Linked DNA regions of Arabidopsis thaliana. The protein of the gene in region 1 interacts with the protein of each later gene in a pairwise test. Each region holds a gene or a part of one and is shown on either strand. Other genes may lie near its edges. The genes, in order: GTL1, NF-YA4, AT3G07340 and TRFL5.

What was found.
Region 2: the proteins of GTL1 (region 1) and NF-YA4 interact in a two-hybrid assay, tested with the Arabidopsis thaliana proteins (one large-scale study listed by BioGRID).
Region 3: the proteins of GTL1 (region 1) and AT3G07340 interact in a two-hybrid assay, tested with the Arabidopsis thaliana proteins (one large-scale study listed by BioGRID).
Region 4: the proteins of GTL1 (region 1) and TRFL5 interact in a two-hybrid assay, tested with the Arabidopsis thaliana proteins (one large-scale study listed by BioGRID).

The regions. Positions count from the first base shown.
Region 1 is NC_003070.9:12,050,847-12,056,515, forward strand, and holds GTL1 (GT-2-like 1), read right to left. Parts: upstream 3,908-5,669; 5' UTR 3,475-3,907; coding exon 3,185-3,474; intron 3,090-3,184; exon of another isoform or gene 2,988-3,089; coding exon of another isoform or gene 2,815-2,987; coding exon 1,353-2,814; coding exon of another isoform or gene 1,320-1,352; exon of another isoform or gene 1,271-1,319; coding exon 1,013-1,270; 3' UTR 531-1,012; downstream 1-530. UniProt on the Arabidopsis thaliana protein: Transcription repressor that binds specific DNA sequence such as GT3 box 5'-GGTAAA-3' in the SDD1 promoter. Negative regulator of water use efficiency (WUE) via the promotion of stomatal density and distribution by the transcription repression of SDD1.
Region 2 is NC_003071.7:14,649,188-14,653,554, forward strand, and holds NF-YA4 (nuclear factor Y, subunit A4), read right to left. Parts: upstream 2,523-4,367; 5' UTR 2,377-2,522; intron 2,115-2,376; 5' UTR 2,069-2,114; coding exon 2,041-2,068; intron 1,949-2,040; coding exon 1,833-1,948; exon of another isoform or gene 1,487-1,832; coding exon of another isoform or gene 1,448-1,486; coding exon 1,364-1,447; intron 1,276-1,363; coding exon 1,111-1,275; intron 1,035-1,110; coding exon 831-1,034; 3' UTR 519-830; downstream 1-518. UniProt on the Arabidopsis thaliana protein: Stimulates the transcription of various genes by recognizing and binding to a CCAAT motif in promoters.
Region 3 is NC_003074.8:2,340,318-2,345,451, reverse strand, and holds AT3G07340 (basic helix-loop-helix (bHLH) DNA-binding superfamily protein), read left to right. Parts: upstream 1-1,754; 5' UTR 1,755-2,163; coding exon 2,164-2,832; intron 2,833-2,912; coding exon 2,913-3,065; intron 3,066-3,191; coding exon 3,192-3,257; intron 3,258-3,346; coding exon 3,347-3,415; intron 3,416-3,540; coding exon 3,541-3,612; intron 3,613-3,735; coding exon 3,736-3,951; coding exon of another isoform or gene 3,952-4,020; exon of another isoform or gene 4,021-4,042; coding exon 4,043-4,124; intron 4,125-4,220; coding exon 4,221-4,264; 3' UTR 4,265-4,607; downstream 4,608-5,134.
Region 4 is NC_003070.9:5,404,296-5,408,031, reverse strand, and holds TRFL5 (TRF-like 5), read right to left. Parts: upstream 2,008-3,736; 5' UTR 1,895-2,007; coding exon 722-1,894; 3' UTR 546-721; downstream 1-545. Other genes in the region: AT1G15730 (Cobalamin biosynthesis CobW-like protein), read left to right, coding at 1-1, 147-251, 360-497; AT1G15710 (prephenate dehydrogenase family protein), read right to left, coding at 2,451-3,527.

The DNA.
Region 1 (5,669 bases):
TACCTGTACCCATTTCCTCCATTATTACTCTCTCTATCAAAAAGATACAGAATCTTTTCTTTTTCTTCTTCTTCTTTATTTTTTTTTGGTGTGATCATGCTGTCTCAATCCATCTTTCTATATTCTCAAACCATTATTTTTATTTTGTAAATTTACACGAGTAGTTTTTTACTTTTTGATACAGTTTTTTTGAAGGTAAAGAAAAAAGTTATAGAAAAAAAACAGAGAGATGAAAAATGAGTTAACATGAGAGTGGCACGAGTCTTGTCGTTGTAAGTACAAAAGCCTGCACATGCTTTTGATTGTAAGAAAAATAAAGTTTGAAACAAAAGAACAAAACTTTGAGCGACCCTGTTTAATTGATAGTGACACCAAAAATGAATAATGGCTTATCGGATTGTTTTTGTGGGCGCCGCAAAAAGGATTAAACATAAAAACACACAGATTCTCTCTTCTTCTTCTCCTCTCAATTACTTATGGCTTTGAGTCTCAGTCAAAAAAGCAAAGTGAATAAACCAATCTTTGTCATATATCAATTCAAATAGTAGTAATAATCAGTCATATATGTTTATCTTTGTCTGATAAACTAAATGATTCTAATTCTTACCTTAAAGGAAGAAAAAATAAAATAAAGACTCTTTATTCCCCAATTAACCAATCAACAAATGTTTTAAGAGAAAAAAAAAAAGTGTGAGACTTGCTGATGAAATTACAACTCCAAAATAATCTAAAAGACCTTTTAGCTAGAGTTTTTTGTTCATGTGGGGGTTGGAAGAAGAAAACAATGAACAAGAAGAAACAAACAAGAGACAGTGAGAAAGAAAAGAACAAAAGGGAAAGAATGTGAAAAAGAATTGTATTCACTGAAAAATCGAAGATCGATGAGACCTTGATATTTCAGTTTGTGGTGTCAGATGTGTGTGTGTGTGTGTTTGTGTTTTGTGTTTTTGGGTGTTTTGTTTAGAAAACTATGCACACATAAGTACATTTTCTTGAAACAATGATTCTGATTTTACTGAACCATTGTCAAGAAAGGTGGTTCCGTATGGCCATTGCCTCCTCTGTTTGCAGGGCTTTGAAACGCAATCTCGAAAGCCGCGGACTTCTCATCCTCGTCTAGTTCTTCCTCATCCATTTCCTGATCTTCCTCTTCCTCCATGTTATTATAATTGTGAGACTCTTCAATCTTTTCATACTCACCTATCATTGATTCTTGTTGTTGTAGTTGCTGTTGTTGTTGAATCAGCTCTCTCATCACAAGGTCTTCTGGCTTCAATTCCAACAAATCATATTTCAGTTATCAAAGAACATTAAACCAATCACATTTTGACAAGGAAAAGCAAAGTTTGTACCTTTTCTGTTCCTTGTGGACTTTCCTCTATAGGCTCTTCTTCCTCAGTTGAAGCTGACCCATGAGTTTGTTGAACATTAACAAGTCCTTCTTGTGGCGGTTTCATCGCAGTGACCGGACTCTGTTTTTGGTCTTGAGGTAGACCAGAAGTGCTAGAACCACCGCCACTACCGAGTACTTTGTTGCGGTAAAGAAGATCGAGGCGGTGAAAGTAAGGACAAGTCTTAGCATCTTGAGGACGTTTCTTGTTGCTTTCTTTAACTTTCTTGTAGTATTTGTTTATGTTTTCCCATTTCTCTTTACATCTCTTAGCGTTTCTGTTGTATCCCATTCTCTTCATTGAAGTTGAGATCTCTTCCCATAGAAGTCCTTTAGGTACATTATCTTGGTACCTTGGTTCCATTCCACTTCTCAGGTTTATAAGCGCTAGAATCTCTGCCTTTGGCCATCTTGATGATGATGGTAATGATGATTGTTCCGAGCTCATGACCATCTCTTGTTGTGGTTGTTGTTGTTGTTTCTGTTCTGGTTGATGAGCGTGAGGATGAGAAGGAGGAGGAGGAGGAAGAATTTGTTGTTGTGGAATCGCCATTATTGGTTGTTGTGATTGAGATTGAGCTGTTGATAATGGTGGTTCCGCCACACGTTTAGTGACCGCGGGTGGCGGTTGATACGGTGGAGGCGGTTGAGATGACAAAGAAGGAGGTAACTGAATGGTATGGCCAGTAATTTTCTGAATCAATGAAATGATTGCGGCGTCACGAGAAGCAGAGGCGGCTCGTTCTTGAGACATGACCTCGTGTTCTCGAGCTAACCGAGCCATTTCTTGACGTTTCCAAGCTTCTTCACGATCAAGACGTTCTTGCTCTCTCTTCTCAAGAGCTTCCAAGAAACTCCTTTGCATAGCCGCTTGCTTTTGCATTACTTGTCTCACCAAACCTTCAAACAATTCCATCATTTTACCGCCTCCACCGCGGTTTCCACGTTTGCGTTTTCGGCTACTAGAACCCGCAATGTTAGCCTGATCAACGTCCATATCGTCGTCATCATCATCAGACCCCATTCCTGAAGCCGTCGATGAGCTATGAGACGAGAAAGTAACACCGGTAAATATCGGACCCATTGAAGGAAGTGGAAGAGGTGGTGGAGTAGGAGTAAAAGAGACATTATGCGTTTGAGGCGGTTGCGTTTGCGTTTGCGGTTGCGGTTGAGAGAATACGGGAAATGGAGAAGAAGAAGAAGAAGGCATGAGAATGGGATTAGCGACGGAGAGAGGAGTAACGTCGAGGGAAGATGAAGGAGGAGTAGTGTTGAGAGCTTCAAGCTGAGAGAAGAACTTGTAAGCTTTACCATCATGACGACCACCGCGAGTTTCTTTAGTACGTTTGTAATATTTCTGAACGTTTTCGAATTTCTCTTTGCATTTCTTTGAACTTCGTTTGTAACCTAACTCCAATAGCTTCCTGTTTCCAAAAACATGAAAATAATTCAGATTCTCTAGTTTTATTTTATTTTTGGTTGTCGTTATTAGCTGGAAAATTTTTATGGTTACTGTTCGATCGGATTTTTTTTTTTTTTTTTTGGAAGTAAAGAGAGTCTTGGGATTTTCAAAATCGAAAACGTCCCAGAAACTCATGAACCAACTTCTGTAATAAACAAACAGTTCTTTTAATTTTTCTTGGGGATGGTGAAGATGCTTTGATCTCGAATATATTACTATTTATATATACCTAACACTAAAAAAAAAAAGTTAACAAAAAAAAAACACATGCAAATGGATCTCTATCAAGAAACACCATTGATGAAAATGGAAGAGAAGAGAGGAAGAGAGACCTGGAAACATGTTCCCAAAGAGGAGCTTTGAGAGTAGCATCACGAAAAGTAGAATCCATATCGGATCGGATCCGAAGAAGAGCTAAAGTTTCTTCTCTCGGCCATCGATTTCCCGATGAAGAAGAAGCACTTCCTCCTCCTCCTCCTCCACCTCCACCTCCTAATCCACCGTCATCCGCGGCGGCTGAGAATCTCATAAGCTCTTCTAAGTTGTTAGCAGGAGGTCTTGAACTAATAGGTGAAGCTTCCTCCACAACTTCATTACCACCACCACCTCCTCCTTGCTCCATCAATCTTGATGATGTTTCAATCTTTTTCTACACACACACTCTCTCTTTCTCTCTAGCTCCTCAATGTTTTTTGATATAAATCTCATAAAACCATTGATGATGATGATGAGAGAAATAAGAAAGAGAAGCAGTCTTTTTTTGTTTGTTTAAACAGCAACTAGGAGGGGTCTGAAGGAGAAAGGAGAGGATTACGAGGATGATGATGATAGATAGAGAGAAAGAGAATGAAAGCAAACAAGAAGTTAATAAAGCTGAAGCCTCTTCTAACTTTGCAGCAAATTATTGTTAAACCCACTTTTCTTCACTCTCTCTTTTTCTTTATTTATTTTATTTTCTTCCTTCTTTTATATTATTTAGAAAAAAAGGTCCACATCTATTTAATTAAATCCAATTTTATGTGTATTATTATTATTGTTATAAAGCAAAGAGTAAGGAAGGCTTTAAAAGTTAAATTTGGATCCGCAAACATCTCATTGCTCAGTGATCCGATTAAATTGTTTTTGGGTAAAAATTGTGTTTTGGAGAAATATAATAAACACAAAATCATGTGCCTCCCATGTTGTTGTCCTCTCCCACCATCATGTCTAAGGTGTCCACGTGGCGTTGTCTGATTGGTAGGGTATGTGACAATCAGATTTTTGGGGAAAGGGAGGGACAGAATTGGAATTTGATAATAGTTTTTACCCGATTTGAGCTGGACCAGCCTTGACATCTTTCCCCCCACTCTCTTTCCTCTCCAATTCAACAGTTTCTTTCTCTCTTTTTTTTTGTTATTGTGTAAATAATACATTTATAGAAACATATCAAACAATAGTGTTTTAGTGATGTCAAGAAAAGAAAAAAATAGTAAGTCCAAAGCCAGTGAAATTATTTTATGAATCATACATAGTGCATAATTAATTAACATAACCATGTAATTTTAAACTCGGAACTATCTTGGCAGGTCGGATCGATAACCTGACCCATGCATTAGTTTATGCGAAGCCAAAGCCAAACCCACTCACTACCAACACTATAACAGATTTCGTTTATGTCATTTTAAACATACTTTTTACTGAATTTGCAGCGAATTTAGCATACATGAATTGATATGATGGCTTGGTCACGATAACAAAGTTGCTAGACTCATTTGGACGCTACAATTTTACAAGTGATTCTTGTATGTTGGCATAATTTGGAATCAAGAACATGCATGGTCTGCAAAATCCCATAAATAAACAAACGTGACGTCAAGTGATCTTTGATATGTTCTTTGAATTTATTTTTTTCTCCAAAAAATAAGACATTCGTTTAGTTAAATGTTGATAGCTTGACATCGCTTTTTTTTTTAGTAACTCGTTTGGTTTTTAATTAAAAATGAAACTGTTAATTTCCTTTGCACATATATATGTGAATCAAAACAAAAGTCAAGATGATGATTTTATGTATTGGTGGTAACCAGAATTTTCGACAAAAGTACAAGATAACAAACTAATAAAGAAACCTTATAACAATTAGGTGAAAAATAATGAAAATAAGTACATTTTTTGAGATAGTAAAGCTGTGGTGAAGATAGACATAAGTGATCAATCAAAAATTGAATAGCCTCATATCTAAAATTAGTTGCAAACTCAAGACATCGATGCAGACACTCATACTATCACATTATACAACTCTTTAATACCTCTCACCTACACAAACATACACAAAATAAAAAAAAAACTCATTTTCATTACCAAATCACACTCTACACAAAAACACACCGCTCATTTCTAGTTATACACAAAAAAGGAAAACAAACTATTTCCTTCTAACAACAAAATGAAAGATGCTAATTAATAATAATGGTTAGAGAAGAAGGTGAAGAAGAAGAAGAAGGTGGGCGGTGGAAGTGGAGAACTTTCTTGAAGGGGAAAGAAAGAGAGAGAGCGGCGGATACACAGCTGTCTTCTCTTCTTCTTCCCCCCACTTTCACATGCCTCTCCTTTTTCACTATATTTATTACTTATTACATGTGATATGTTCTTTTTTTTCCTAATTATACAACTTTAATATTAGTACAAGTATAATAAGAATATAATTATACGAGGTGGTAAGAACATGCTCACGGAGTTTCCTTCCTTGATTTCTGACTGAATGAATCTCTCTTTTTACATAAGAGATCTAGATCTCATGAGGGAGTTTTGATTAAGACTTTGATTAACACACTAATCTTA
Region 2 (4,367 bases), on another chromosome or scaffold:
CTTAGTGGATAAAAAAAAGTGGTAAACTAAGATTATTCTACCTTCTTCCCAAAACGAATCCATTTGGTCGCAGAAATCAATGTTTCAAATTCTATCCCAACACATCTAACCAATATATCATCAATGGAATGGTGAAATATGGTCTCTTTGTGAATATAAGAAAAAGGCTAAGTTTATATGTGGTAAAGAAGATAATAATAAAATGGTGTAAACAGGTCTAAAGACTTGACAAAACTAAAACAGAGCTACAAGTCGAGAAAAGAAACAATACCTCGTATAAAAAGAGAATTGTGATTGTAAAATAATGTATGTCGTGTCATTCAAAATGTATCATCGGAAGAGCATATGGTCGGATATGCATGCAATGTGTTCATTAAAAATGAAAACGAGCCTAGTGATTGACCACATTATGAGATCGGAAGAATTCTTGTTTTACTTGTCTCCTAAATTACAACGTCAAATCCGATCCTGTAGAATGCATTTCATATATATAGAAGAATACCAATAAACAGTCTAGTCTAACAATGGACTAATCCACAGTGGTAGTTATCATCAGTGTTAGTTATCCTCAAAATCATAGCAAACAAAGCTAAGAACATTAATTTACTTTCCAAAACATGAGTTCATTGGCAAAGAATATCAATTTGGTACAACAATACTTCCAATCACACTTTTCATTTCTTTGCTTAGTTTTATTTCTAATCGCTAAAACAAAGTTTACCCTAGCAAATAACCTGTACACAGCGTATCCAAAAACACTAAAGACGATGATGCCCTGAGAACATCCACCCAAAATAGAAACTAAACTTGTGGTTGTGCAGAAACCTTCCTCAAGATCTACCATTAGGACCAGAAGTAGCCATAGCTAATTTCTCGGACCTGAGGCTGGAACTTGCTTCTGAAGTGTTCTCATCAGAGGTTGCCTCCTCCTCCTCCTTGTGGTCTCCATTTTCCTTCTTGGCATTGAGAAACCGGCCACCACATCCTCTTGGCCGTCTTATCGCATGTAAATGCCGAGATTCATGCATGTATGGCTGAAAACAAGAAATTACAACTTATTGGGAAGGATTCTACCAAACAAATTACAGCACTTGCCCGCCAGGATTTTACCTTTTTTGCTTTGATGGCTCTATTTCGTGCCTCAAGTTTTGCCCGGGATTGCCTGCGCCTGAGTATACCATGGTATTGCTTTGCGTTAACAAAAACAGGTTCCTCGACTGCATCACATTGCAATGGAACTCCTGGCTGCTGCATTCCCATTAACTGCAATTGGACCTGAAAAAAAAACTTTAAAAATAAAACAAAAGCTTTTCTAAATATTCCAAACCGGAGACGTTGGGGCTGAGTAATAAATAATACATACCCCAGGATAGGGATGTGGAAGATACGCTTGCTGTGCAAAGACGCTTCTGTAGTAAGGATCTGGATACGGGTATAATCCATGTGCCTTCAATACCAACACACACAAAAACAAAAACCGTATCATCTCAGGTTAAAAAGTTTAGCATTACTTGGAATCAACATTATCATTACACTGCATCTCAAGACTGATTTTCAAAGCAATCAAAGTTTACATTCGTACGAAGTCTAAAACTGCAGAAAGGCGATGATCCCGGGACTTTCTTGCTTGAATTATCTCAAACAACCAAGTTTTGGCATTGTAAGCATCAAAACAAAACTTTTAGCATTGAAAAAGAGAATCACAAGCAAACATATTATAACCGAGAGCAAGATCACACAGAAACTAAACCAAATATCATATAATCGAAATAAAGATCACTCATTGAATGTAGCCTGCACAAATAGTTGAGATTTTGGCTGAGAGAAATTACCATGGGCTCTGAGTAGACAGAGTTTGTATCAATAGATTCCGAACTTCGTCCTGAAGGAACCTGTGGTCGGGTTTGGGAATCTGGACGTTCTTTCTTCGCATGACTTTCATTGTTATCTGACCAGCAAAACATACCACCAAGAATCAGTTAGGAAGATACAACAATAAAACGAGAGCATAATGAAAATGGTCAGAAAGAGAGACAAAACCAGAGAGCTCATGTACTGAAGAAGTCATGATTCATGAGAAGACTGTCCTAGTTACAAGTCTGAGGAACAACAAACTGAAACAACAACAAAGCACAAAAGTCAGTACCAAAGCCAAGAGTTTGAGAATCGGAATTCACTAAACCAAAACCCCAAAATCAGAATTCAATCACAACCCTAGAATCTAAAGCAAACCCAGAACAGAGAAAAACCAATCTTAACCTCTACTATCACATCTCAACATACATAGCAAAAGCATTTTCCCGGAAACGAGTAGATACAGAACAACAAAAGCTAGAAACTTTCAAAATCTGGAGGGAAAGAAACATAAGAATTTACCTGAATTATATAAAATAGTAAGCTGATTCAATCAATCTCTGGATCTTACCCTCAGAAAATTGTTAAAGGTCTCTCCTTTTTTGTTCTAACTAAGGAAGAGACGAAATGACTAACAGAGGCCTAAACGGCTAGACCCAAGAGGGACACACCATGTCGTTTTTTCAGTTCATAGCCTCCGTCCTTCTCTAATATTCATTAACATCGTGCCGTTTTCATGTTTTCCACTCACACTGTAGTGATAGGTCAACTCAGAACCACGAAAATGTGTAGGAGTGGTAAACGACACGATGTGCAACAGTGAAAAGGAGGCTAATACAATGAGGACAAGTGTCGAAACAACGATCGAGATTGTAGGAAAAGACGGGCAGATCTGAAAAGCTGCCCGAATATGTTATCGATTGTTCAACTCCACTAGTTTTGCCTGACCCTACTTGTGCCCGTTGCCCTCAAATATATCTTTCGTTGTGAGTCATCAAAGAAGCGTCGGTATCGAAACCGAAGATTCCGTTCGCTTTTGGTTTTGTTCGAATTTCAGAGACATTAAACCAGCTTTGGTATTTAGATTGGTTTGACTTCGGTTCAGTGACAAAACAAAACCTACTTAAACGAACGAGTGATGAGTGACTTCAGAAAAAAACAGTACATGATTCCATAATAAGTAACTTATTATTTATAAGTTTCCTAAAAATTTTGCCCAAAAAAAAAAAAAGAAAAAAAAAACTTTCCTAAAAAAGTATTTGCTAATTGCTTTGACTCGAAAAATAATTGAAAACTATCACTTATGTGTAAAAGACCACCAAAAGTTGTAACGCCTTTGATCACTTATACGAGGTCACAGTATTCGACAAGTAACTATAGGTCAAAATCAAGTAAGTATGCATTCGACAAGTAAGAAACGTTTAACGTAAATGAAGTGAGTGAGCAGTCATTGAACAACAAATTAGCGTTTGGAAATGGACGAAAACTAACTAGTAAACATGATTAATACACAAGTAAATGAAGTGACTGAGCAGTCATTAAATAACCATGCTTACTTAATCACCTATACGATTATATAGTCTGCTTTCATCCCTAAACTCCTTATCATCATGATTCTTGATTCGACACCTCAAAGTCCTCAAGTGCATGTCAGCACGTATAAAGTTATAAATATAAAAAAAAAAAAAAAAAGTTATAAATATCAAGCATAATTTAGCACTGAGATTAAAAGAGCATTCCTAACAAAACCAAAGATTATAAGTTCATGATATTGGAAAAACCCAACACAAGTTCATGTAATTAGGTTAAGTAGATGAGCAAGTAGTCTCTTATATATAATCATGTAGTGAGAACAGTGAGACTAACGTAGAGAGTTGTCACTTAACTCCATAGTCTATCCCCTTCTTTGAAATCAAAACTAAAGTCATTCTATTCTTGGGGACAATCTAAATCTTTTCCCCTCATACTTTTGTTTTGTGCAATAAGCTTAATGAGGTCTCTTATTTTCAGTTTTAGATTTCTATGTTAGTTCATTTGAGCACAAATCTATCCTAGTTTGGTTTTTCCTACAAAGATCGCCTCAAAAGAACGATTTTAGTTAATAAGACTTAAACCCCAACCATCAAGATCAAACCGTCATAATCTAGTTTAATCCATGATACAAAAAAAAAAAAAAAATACCACTTACACAAAGTAAAAGCAAAAGAAAAAGATAGAGATGAGACCAAATTCATAAATTTGATAGAAAGATAAGGATGAGATTCTTTTATAATTGTGAAGATAAATATACTAATTTTTATCGAAGGGGTGTTCAAAAGTATATTGATTCAAATAGATTATAGAGAAAAATTAAGTAAAACTTAGATTTAGAAATACCTCTTGTTATAGTTGTCATATAAATCTTAAATTTAACATCAATCATATTGTCAAATCTAGCTTTATTACCAAAAATATATCTAGAATAGAAATACTAAAAAATTAAAATGTCATCCGAAATCTATAATTAATTAATC
Region 3 (5,134 bases), on another chromosome or scaffold:
GGATAAAATACACCAACTGAAACTCATATTCGAGTGAAACAGAACCTGACCGAACAACTTTTCTTAATTTAATGGAAGGAAAAGTTGGGATTTGGGAGGTGTGAAGAGTTCTTTAGAATGAGGTAACGAACAAGTGACAATATCTAATAATCTTTTGTAAGAACAAGAACATGACAAGTGGGTTTTGTTGTTTGGTGTCTATTTATGCTCGTCGCCCCATGCAGTATAGTAGTAGTATTATTAATAAAAGACCCAAATCCGTTTTTTTGTATGCTATTGAAATTTTATCTGAACGCGAAGAGTCAATGGATTATTCATAATTCTAATGAATACGTGAAAGTTCTGCTCGTCTTAGAACAAAGTACTTGGGATAAAATGCCAAAAAGCCGGTTTAAACGAAAATCAAGCATCTTTCCTAAACCATGTTATATATAATGTATTTTTTTTTTTTTGGGTAAAGAAAATAACATATGTTGTACATAATGTATTACAAACAGGAATTTTGGCAAACAATTATGCATCACCTACATAATTGTTTGTGTAAGTGGTGATGTATATATTTTATTCTTTCGAACAATTATGCGAATATTGTCACCAAAATATGAAAATATCGATGTTATCTATTCATCATTAAATTACCCGATCCAGAGATTTATAAGTATTTAACTATTTATCAAATTCTAAATCGATGTTATAAGTTGTAGATAATTTTTAGCAAAAAAAAGTTGTAGATAATTGATATTATAGGGGAGCCCATTCCAATTCTCTCCCGAGGATGGATCCCGTTTAAATTCGTAAGTGGGCTTATAAGTTGAAAGCCCATACTTATGTTAGAAGTTAAAAGCCCAGCTAAATAATAATCTCTGTAGTGTTTATAGTCGATGTTGGGCTATTGACCACTATTTTCATCATGCGTGACGTAGGCGTGGGAAGTATTATTTGTGTGATCCGAGATCTGATCCGAATTTGAATGTAGCTGTATGGGAGAAAAGCCGAACGTGTATATTATCCTTTTGACGGCGCTTAAGGTTATCTTATACTAGTATATGTCATATTTTTCTTACGTAAAAAGTCGGTGATATGTTATTGAAACGTGTCACCACAAACGTAAACCTATGATCTGGGACATGTTTGAAACCAATGAACTTTTCAATTAAACTCGGACATCTATTTGTATCTTTCTGTAAACTTAAATATTAGATATATCTATTGATGTATTATGTTGATTTTCTTATTCTTAGACGACTAGCAATATACGTAATATGGTCAATTAGAAATTTAGAAATCTCACCAAGTCAAGCACTAATCTATACAGAACGGCAAATCCTTCTAAGTTCTACTTCTAACCAAACCGTATGATCCACATGACCATATGAGAGTAATTTCCAAGAGACTATCATGATGCAAGAACGAACATAAAACCATCTAACTAAAAATTTAGCTCACTTACATGCATGAACAAACCAAATTGCCTCATTGAAACTGCCTACTTGAAACATGTTATAAAATCAAGATTTTTCCTTGTCTTTTTCTTGATTCGAACAAAGAAAGAGTTAAACATGTTGACATACAAATCAACAAAAGAACCGGCGATGGTTAAGGAACTTCGACAAGGGAACCCATTCGTCAAAAGTAGTTTGTTATTCGTTTACCGGTTTTTGATATTAGTACCAGATTTGTTTTTGACATCTTAAAGAACGTTAAGATTGTTTCGTACTATTTAATAGTTTCACACTTATTTTATACTGTATTTAGAAGCTTGTTTCTCCAATTATCTCATTTGGTAAAGACGTTTCATTAGCGATATCGTGTTAACGTCGAAAGTCCTCCTCTCGTTACGGTCCGGTCCGACACAGAAATTTTTATTTAATATTTACTTTATTTTTTGTCCATTTATTAGAAAGAAAGTCATTGATTGGTGCAATTTATTAATATAAATTTATTAAACAACTATATAAACTCCTCATTACTGCCCATTAACGAGCTTCCCTTTTCCTCTGTTCTTCACTTTAAGAAAATTACAAACTTTTATCTTCTATTGGACGAATCTTTGATCTGGTTTTAATTAATCACACGCTTACTTTAGGATTTTTTTACCTGAATTCGAATATATACTTTTGATTTTCATCTTCCGTAGTCCGTACCGTAGAATTGAGGAGCTTCATGGAGAACGAGCTGTTTATGAATGCAGGAGTTTCGCATCCGCCGGTGATGACGTCACCGTCTTCTTCGTCGGCGATGCTTAAGTGGGTTTCAATGGAGACTCAGCCAGTGGATCCAAGTCTCAGTCGCAATCTGTTTTGGGAAAAGTCAACGGAACAGAGCATTTTTGATTCGGCTCTGAGCTCACTCGTCTCTTCTCCTACGCCGTCAAATTCAAACTTTTCGGTTGGCGGAGTAGGTGGAGAAAATGTCATTATGAGAGAGCTCATCGGGAAACTGGGTAATATCGGCGATATCTATGGAATTACGGCGAGCAATGGAAACTCGTGTTACGCAACTCCGATGAGCTCTCCACCGCCTGGAAGTATGATGGAGACGAAAACGACGACGCCGATGGCAGAACTGTCCGGCGACCCGGGATTCGCTGAGAGAGCGGCGAGGTTCTCGTGTTTTGGTAGCCGGAGTTTTAACAGCAGAACAAACTCGCCGTTTCCGATTAATAACGAACCACCCATCACAACCAATGAGAAAATGCCACGTGTATCAAGCAGCCCAGTTTTTAAGCCTCTTGCGTCTCATGTTCCCGCCGGCGAATCGTCCGGTGAACTTTCCCGGAAAAGAAAAACTAAATCCAAGCAGAATTCTCCTTCTGCAGTTTCATCATCAAAGGTTCATAATGAAGCTTCACATTCGAATAAACCCATTTTTTGTTTGGTTTAAACAAATACTAATTTTAGTTTGATTATCAGGAGATTGAAGAGAAGGAAGATTCTGATCCAAAGAGATGCAAAAAATCAGAAGAAAATGGAGACAAAACTAAATCAATTGATCCTTACAAAGATTACATTCATGTTAGAGCTCGACGAGGCCAAGCCACCGATAGTCACAGTCTCGCCGAACGAGTCAGTCAATTTCCTATTTTCTTACCAAATTTATTGATTTTAATCTTAATGTTTAATTACGTCCTGATTAGTTGAATTAATCATGCTTTGTATTCAATGTGTTGTTGTGATTTCGATATTAAAAAGGTTCGAAGAGAGAAAATAAGCGAAAGAATGAAGCTGCTTCAAGATCTTGTCCCTGGATGCAACAAGGTGAGAGTTTGATTAAACAACTAATTAACTCGTTTTTAGTTGTACTAATATAGTTGTGATTAGAGCAATAACAAATTTACTTTTTAAAGGTTACTGGAAAAGCACTGATGTTGGATGAAATTATAAACTATGTCCAATCATTGCAACGACAAGTTGAGGTAATTACTCATTAGATTATTGGTCTACTTTAAACTCTTTCCATTATTTCATAATCACTTTTTAAAACAACTACACGACTTCGAATAATTTTTGTTTCTTAATTTTAATTTCAAATATGGTGCAGTTCTTGTCGATGAAGTTATCGTCAGTGAACACCAGGCTGGACTTTAACATGGACGCTCTCTTGTCTAAGGATGTAAGTCACCGTCACAACATTTATAGTAATTTTAATTGACAATTATTGTAATAATAATTACTTTTTTGTCTTTGTGAACCAATCGTGTGTTTGTTTAAACTAATTTCTTTTGTTTTCTGACAGATATTTCCTTCAAGCAACAATCTAATGCATCATCAACAAGTACTTCAATTAGATTCTTCAGCAGAAACGTTATTGGGTGATCATCACAACAAAAATTTGCAATTGAACCCTGATATTTCTTCTAATAACGTAATAAACCCTTTGGAAACTTCTGAAACTAGAAGCTTCATTTCTCACTTACCAACACTTGCTCATTTCACTGACTCTATTTCTCAGGTTTCCTTTTCTAAAACATTCTTCTATCACTTTTCTTTTCTTTTTCTCTTCAATTTGAAGCGGTCTTAACCCTTTTTGGTTTTGTTTTTAGTATTCAACATTTTCCGAAGATGATTTACATAGCATTATTCATATGGGTTTTGCGCAAAACCGTCTCCAAGAATTGAACCAAGGTAAGAATATTTAAATCATATTTTTTCTTTCCATTTCATTATATAGGCAGGACCGTTTAGATATGATATGTATAAATTGTACTATTATATATGCAGGTTCATCAAACCAAGTACCATCGCACATGAAAGCTGAACTTTGATCAACCACTATATGCATTTTTACAAAAATATTGGCGTTTTAAAGGTCTCGAGGATAGAAAGTAAGAAAAGGATTGATGGGTGTACATAACAAGAAATTTGAATTGGACCACACCATATGCGAATTCATTTCTATAATCATCTTCATATACATAACTTCTTCTTTTTATCCTTCCGATTCATTTGTGGTGCTCAATTGTATTGTCATGTTGTTATCCGCTATTCTTCTTCTTATCAGATTCTTTAAACTTTTCTTGTTTGGATTTAATATCATTGTATGTTTTAACCCCACTATAAGTACTATAGCTATAATTCTTCCGAACAACAAGACTGTTTTTATCAAACCCATTCAGTTCTTGTAACAAAAAAACATCAAACTCTTGAAAACGAAAAAATAATTCGGTTTTCTTATAAAGAGTTTGTATGTGATAAGAAGCTAACAAGGACAGATCATTCCTAGAAAATACACATTTTTGGTGAAGGAAAAACAACAGTGTGTTGCAAAAATTGATAGATACTAAGTAAATTTTCTTATTTCAATTATCAAAACTATATAGCTTCTGCATGTTAGGTGAGATTTTGTAGTTTATTTATGTGTATTATTTCCTTATTTATTTTTGGAAAAGGTATTTAATTATTTGTTAAAGCGTATGAAATGTTAGTATGCAGTTTTTGGTTGGAATACGATTTAACATTGAAACCAAAAAGTTGGTATTGAGTTTTTTTCGGCAGGAGTTACATAGCGTGACAACTATCTTTGTGCTAAATTACATGTGTGTAATTTGCTCAAATGTACTATTTCCAACAAATATAATAGGTACTACAGCATATTCACAAACATCAAATCTTAGCTAAGCTTGACTTTTTCAATA
Region 4 (3,736 bases), 6.6 Mb from region 1:
GGTATTAACCCAATATGGCTCAAGTTGTGTCACATGTGATGCATAAAACTGTAGCACCTGACGTGTTACTTATAATTAAAACGATTGTTGAGATGTGCGATTGATTACTTGCATCATCTATAACCTTAGTTTTGAAAATGGATCAGGCTAACATGTGGCTTGGGGCGCTATTGTACCAACGTAGTGAGGATATCTACAGAATGAAAGGTATCCTCTCCGTACAAGACATGGACGAGAGATTCGTGTTTCAGGTGACCAACCTTTGTCATTATTTTGATCATTTCGGATGAATTCTAAAGCATCGAAGCCTTGGGATGTAAATTATCTCTGACGTTTGTGGTTTATAATGGTTGGAACAGGGAGTTCATGAAATATTTGAAGGATCACCTGACCGGTTATGGAGAAAAGATGAAACAAGAACCAACAAGATTGTTTTCATCGGCAAGAATTTGAACCGGGAGGAGTTAGAGATGGGTTTCAGAGCTTGCTTGATTTGATTATAGGACCAAATATTTAAAATCATTCCATTTTGTAATCAACTGGTCAATAGATTTTTGAACAAGAAATATCGTCTAAAGCTTGACACTAACTACAAGAGCCTGAATCAAGAACATATTAAAGCCTTCACCGTACAAAAAGTGAGTCCCTTTCTAACACAAGCGGCAAAACTACACAAGATCCCAAAACCAAAATGCCCATAAGTTAGAAGGTAAGATTCCTACTACTGACGACCAAGTAAATTCCTCCACTTATCCTTCAAATCCACCTCGCTCCTATCAGCGAAAACAACAGGGTATGAATTCTTGATATCTTTCCATGATTTTCCATATTCTTTAACTCCTTCCCTCAAAGCTGCCACTTCTTCAGAAGTCCAGAATTTCATTGGCCTTCTGGGACGCGGTCTTTCTAATCTTCCTTTCTTCAACGGTGATACATTCAGAGGTTCCGGGGTTGGTAGATGAGGCCTGACTCTTCTAGACGATGATGTTCCCTCACTATCTTCTGCATCAGTCCTATTTGCCCCATCAGGCTGAGGAGTGACATCAACTGAATGCTCCATTGCATTGTTAGGTTCTTGATCTTGCCTTGTTATAGGGTCGATGAGTCTTTGAATCTCCAACAAAAAATCCTTAAGCTCTCGAGCTACCAACATTTCCCCCTTATTAAGACTTGGCTCGTGTTCCTGTTCATGTTCATTCACCTTACCAACCCCATCAGGATTCTCCACACCACCCACTTCTTCAACATCATTAGCTTTCTCTCTATTACCTCCTCTCCGGGAAGCATATGGTGAATCCTTACGCTTAAGAAACCTCTTTCGAGCTTCTGATTCAAGAGAAGAACATCCAAGTAGTGCCCACTGCTCTTTGAGAAGCTGATTAAGATGAGAGATGGCATTGTACCTGATGTTAGTCTCACGAATCTTCTGGTAAATCTCAGGTTCCTCAAACGCCTTGTTTAGATCACTCTCCCATTTCAACAACTCACGAGTCACCAAGTCGCTCTCTTTCTCCTTCAATGTCCCAATCCGATTCCTCCAAATCCTCTCAAGGGCATCACCGAAGAAGCCATCCGAAGCATTCACTGGCCACATAAACCTAAGCGTGCATTCCACAGCAGTCCAGCAATACGCAGATTTGAGAGATCCCATGATAACCGAATGTTCCTGTAACAGAAGCTTCTCAAGAATTTCGAGGAGATCAAGCATTCCTTCGTCTACGGTACCTTGAATCATGGAATTGGAGATATCCCGCAAAACAGCAGTTAGCTTGAGTTTTACACAGTCGTCGGAATCTACTGGTTTCAGAGCCGATAACAGTGGAAAAGCGTAAACCCTAGGATTTAGTTGGCGTCGGAGGAAAAATTCAGCTACCCATTTGTCCATCACTTCCATTTCCAAGACTTTGCAAGTAAAAGATGCGAAAACCCGCGATCAGTTTTCGCCGTCGGTGCGTGGTTAGGGTTACAATTTTGGGAAGAGGAAAAGCTCCGACCAACTATGGTGGCAACAACACACGTGTGAATCATTCAAATTTAAAATGTGTTTTTTTCTTTTAATTAAATAAGACGAGACATTCAAGCGGCCCATTATATAATCGGCCCATAACGAAACGATGTTGTCCTGATCCGAATCGGGTGGGTGACCCGAGATCATTGGAGACAGAGAAAAACAGTAATGACTTTTGAGCAATACAATGTTGATCCAATACAAATATGGCCGGAGAAGGAGACAATTTGTCCGTATTTGTTTCCGGCGACCAGAGGGATAAGCATTTCCACAGATACATTTAGAGAAAAAAAGACAAGTTTATTGATACCAAGCCAAAAGAGACCCCAACATACATATGAACACACCAAAATCCCTTTTTTATTTTCCACTCTTGACGTTTTCCAAAAAAGTCACAACTTTTTATTTTTGAATCTAGCATAATCCAATCAAACTTGTGATCTTAAGATGATGATGATGATGATGATGATGATGATGATATATCATTCATAGGAACAACACCACCATCATTGAGCAATTTCTGCTCAGTTTTCTTGGGCGATTGAACCTCCCCACCAAACATTTGCTTCCTGTATTGCTGATGTAATCTCCCAAACAGCTCCTTCTTAACAGACTCAAAAGCCATATCCAATCTCTCCAACTGTTCAAGAGCATTCGGATTATACATAAACAAACCGTAGAAAAGCTCAAAGCTATCACTCGATGTGTTCTCCACCAAATCCAACAACGTCTCATAACCTTTGGTGTTAATCGGCGAAGACTCAACTCCATATTTCTCCAAAACCCTTCCCATAGTATGCGTCACGAATTGCGATCCAGCTGCGTAATAATCATGCTTCTCACAGCTCATTTCAACCATCTTGCAACCTTCATTCTCAAAAATTCTTAGAAACTTCTCACACCTCTCTTGTCTTGAAGCTGCGTCTCCGATTCTCACCTTATCGTAGACAAAGGGCAAGCCAGACCAAGAATGCTTACCACTCTCAGGTCCAAACATTGGATGAGTACAGAGAATGTCAAACTCCTTAGGAAGGTATTTAATGAAGAGGGCTTTTGGGAATTCCTTAACGGAGAGAACATCGACGAAGAGTGTGCTACGACGGAGACGTTGGAAAGGGAATGATCTGAGGACTGATTCTGTGGAGAGGATTGAGGTACAGAGGAGGACAACGTCGGGATGTTGTTCACAGAGATCGTGAGGGTTATCGAAGAAACGAGCTCCGATTGAGTTTGCGGCGTCGGAGTAATCGGAGCGGGAGTGAGTGATTAGATCGTGGCCGTGTCGAATTAGGGTTTTGGAGAGGAATTGGCCGAAATTGCCGAAACCCAAGACGGCGATTTTGAGAGCAGAGGATTTGCGGTACTCGGATTTGAGTTGGGTTTCGTAATCGAAGATTTGGGCGGCGTCGATTGCTCGAATTCGAAGAGATCGCGGCGGGGAAATGAGGAATGTGGGTGAATTGCGGCGGAGATTGGGTGGAGAAATGAGGGGTTTCGCCGGAGAGAAATGGAGTAGCATTGTGAGTAGTGTTGATTGAGTTTTAGCTCCAAAGTTGGGAGCTTAGAGAAATCTGTGAGAATAGAAGAGGAAGAAGCGGTTGCGCCAAAGGAGGAAGAAGATGCGAGCGAGCCTCAAAAATAAACGGATCAATTTTATGTCGTGGCCTAAACGTGGTGATGCTGATTGACCCAAGAAAAACAAAATGCTAAATACACAACAACACAAGG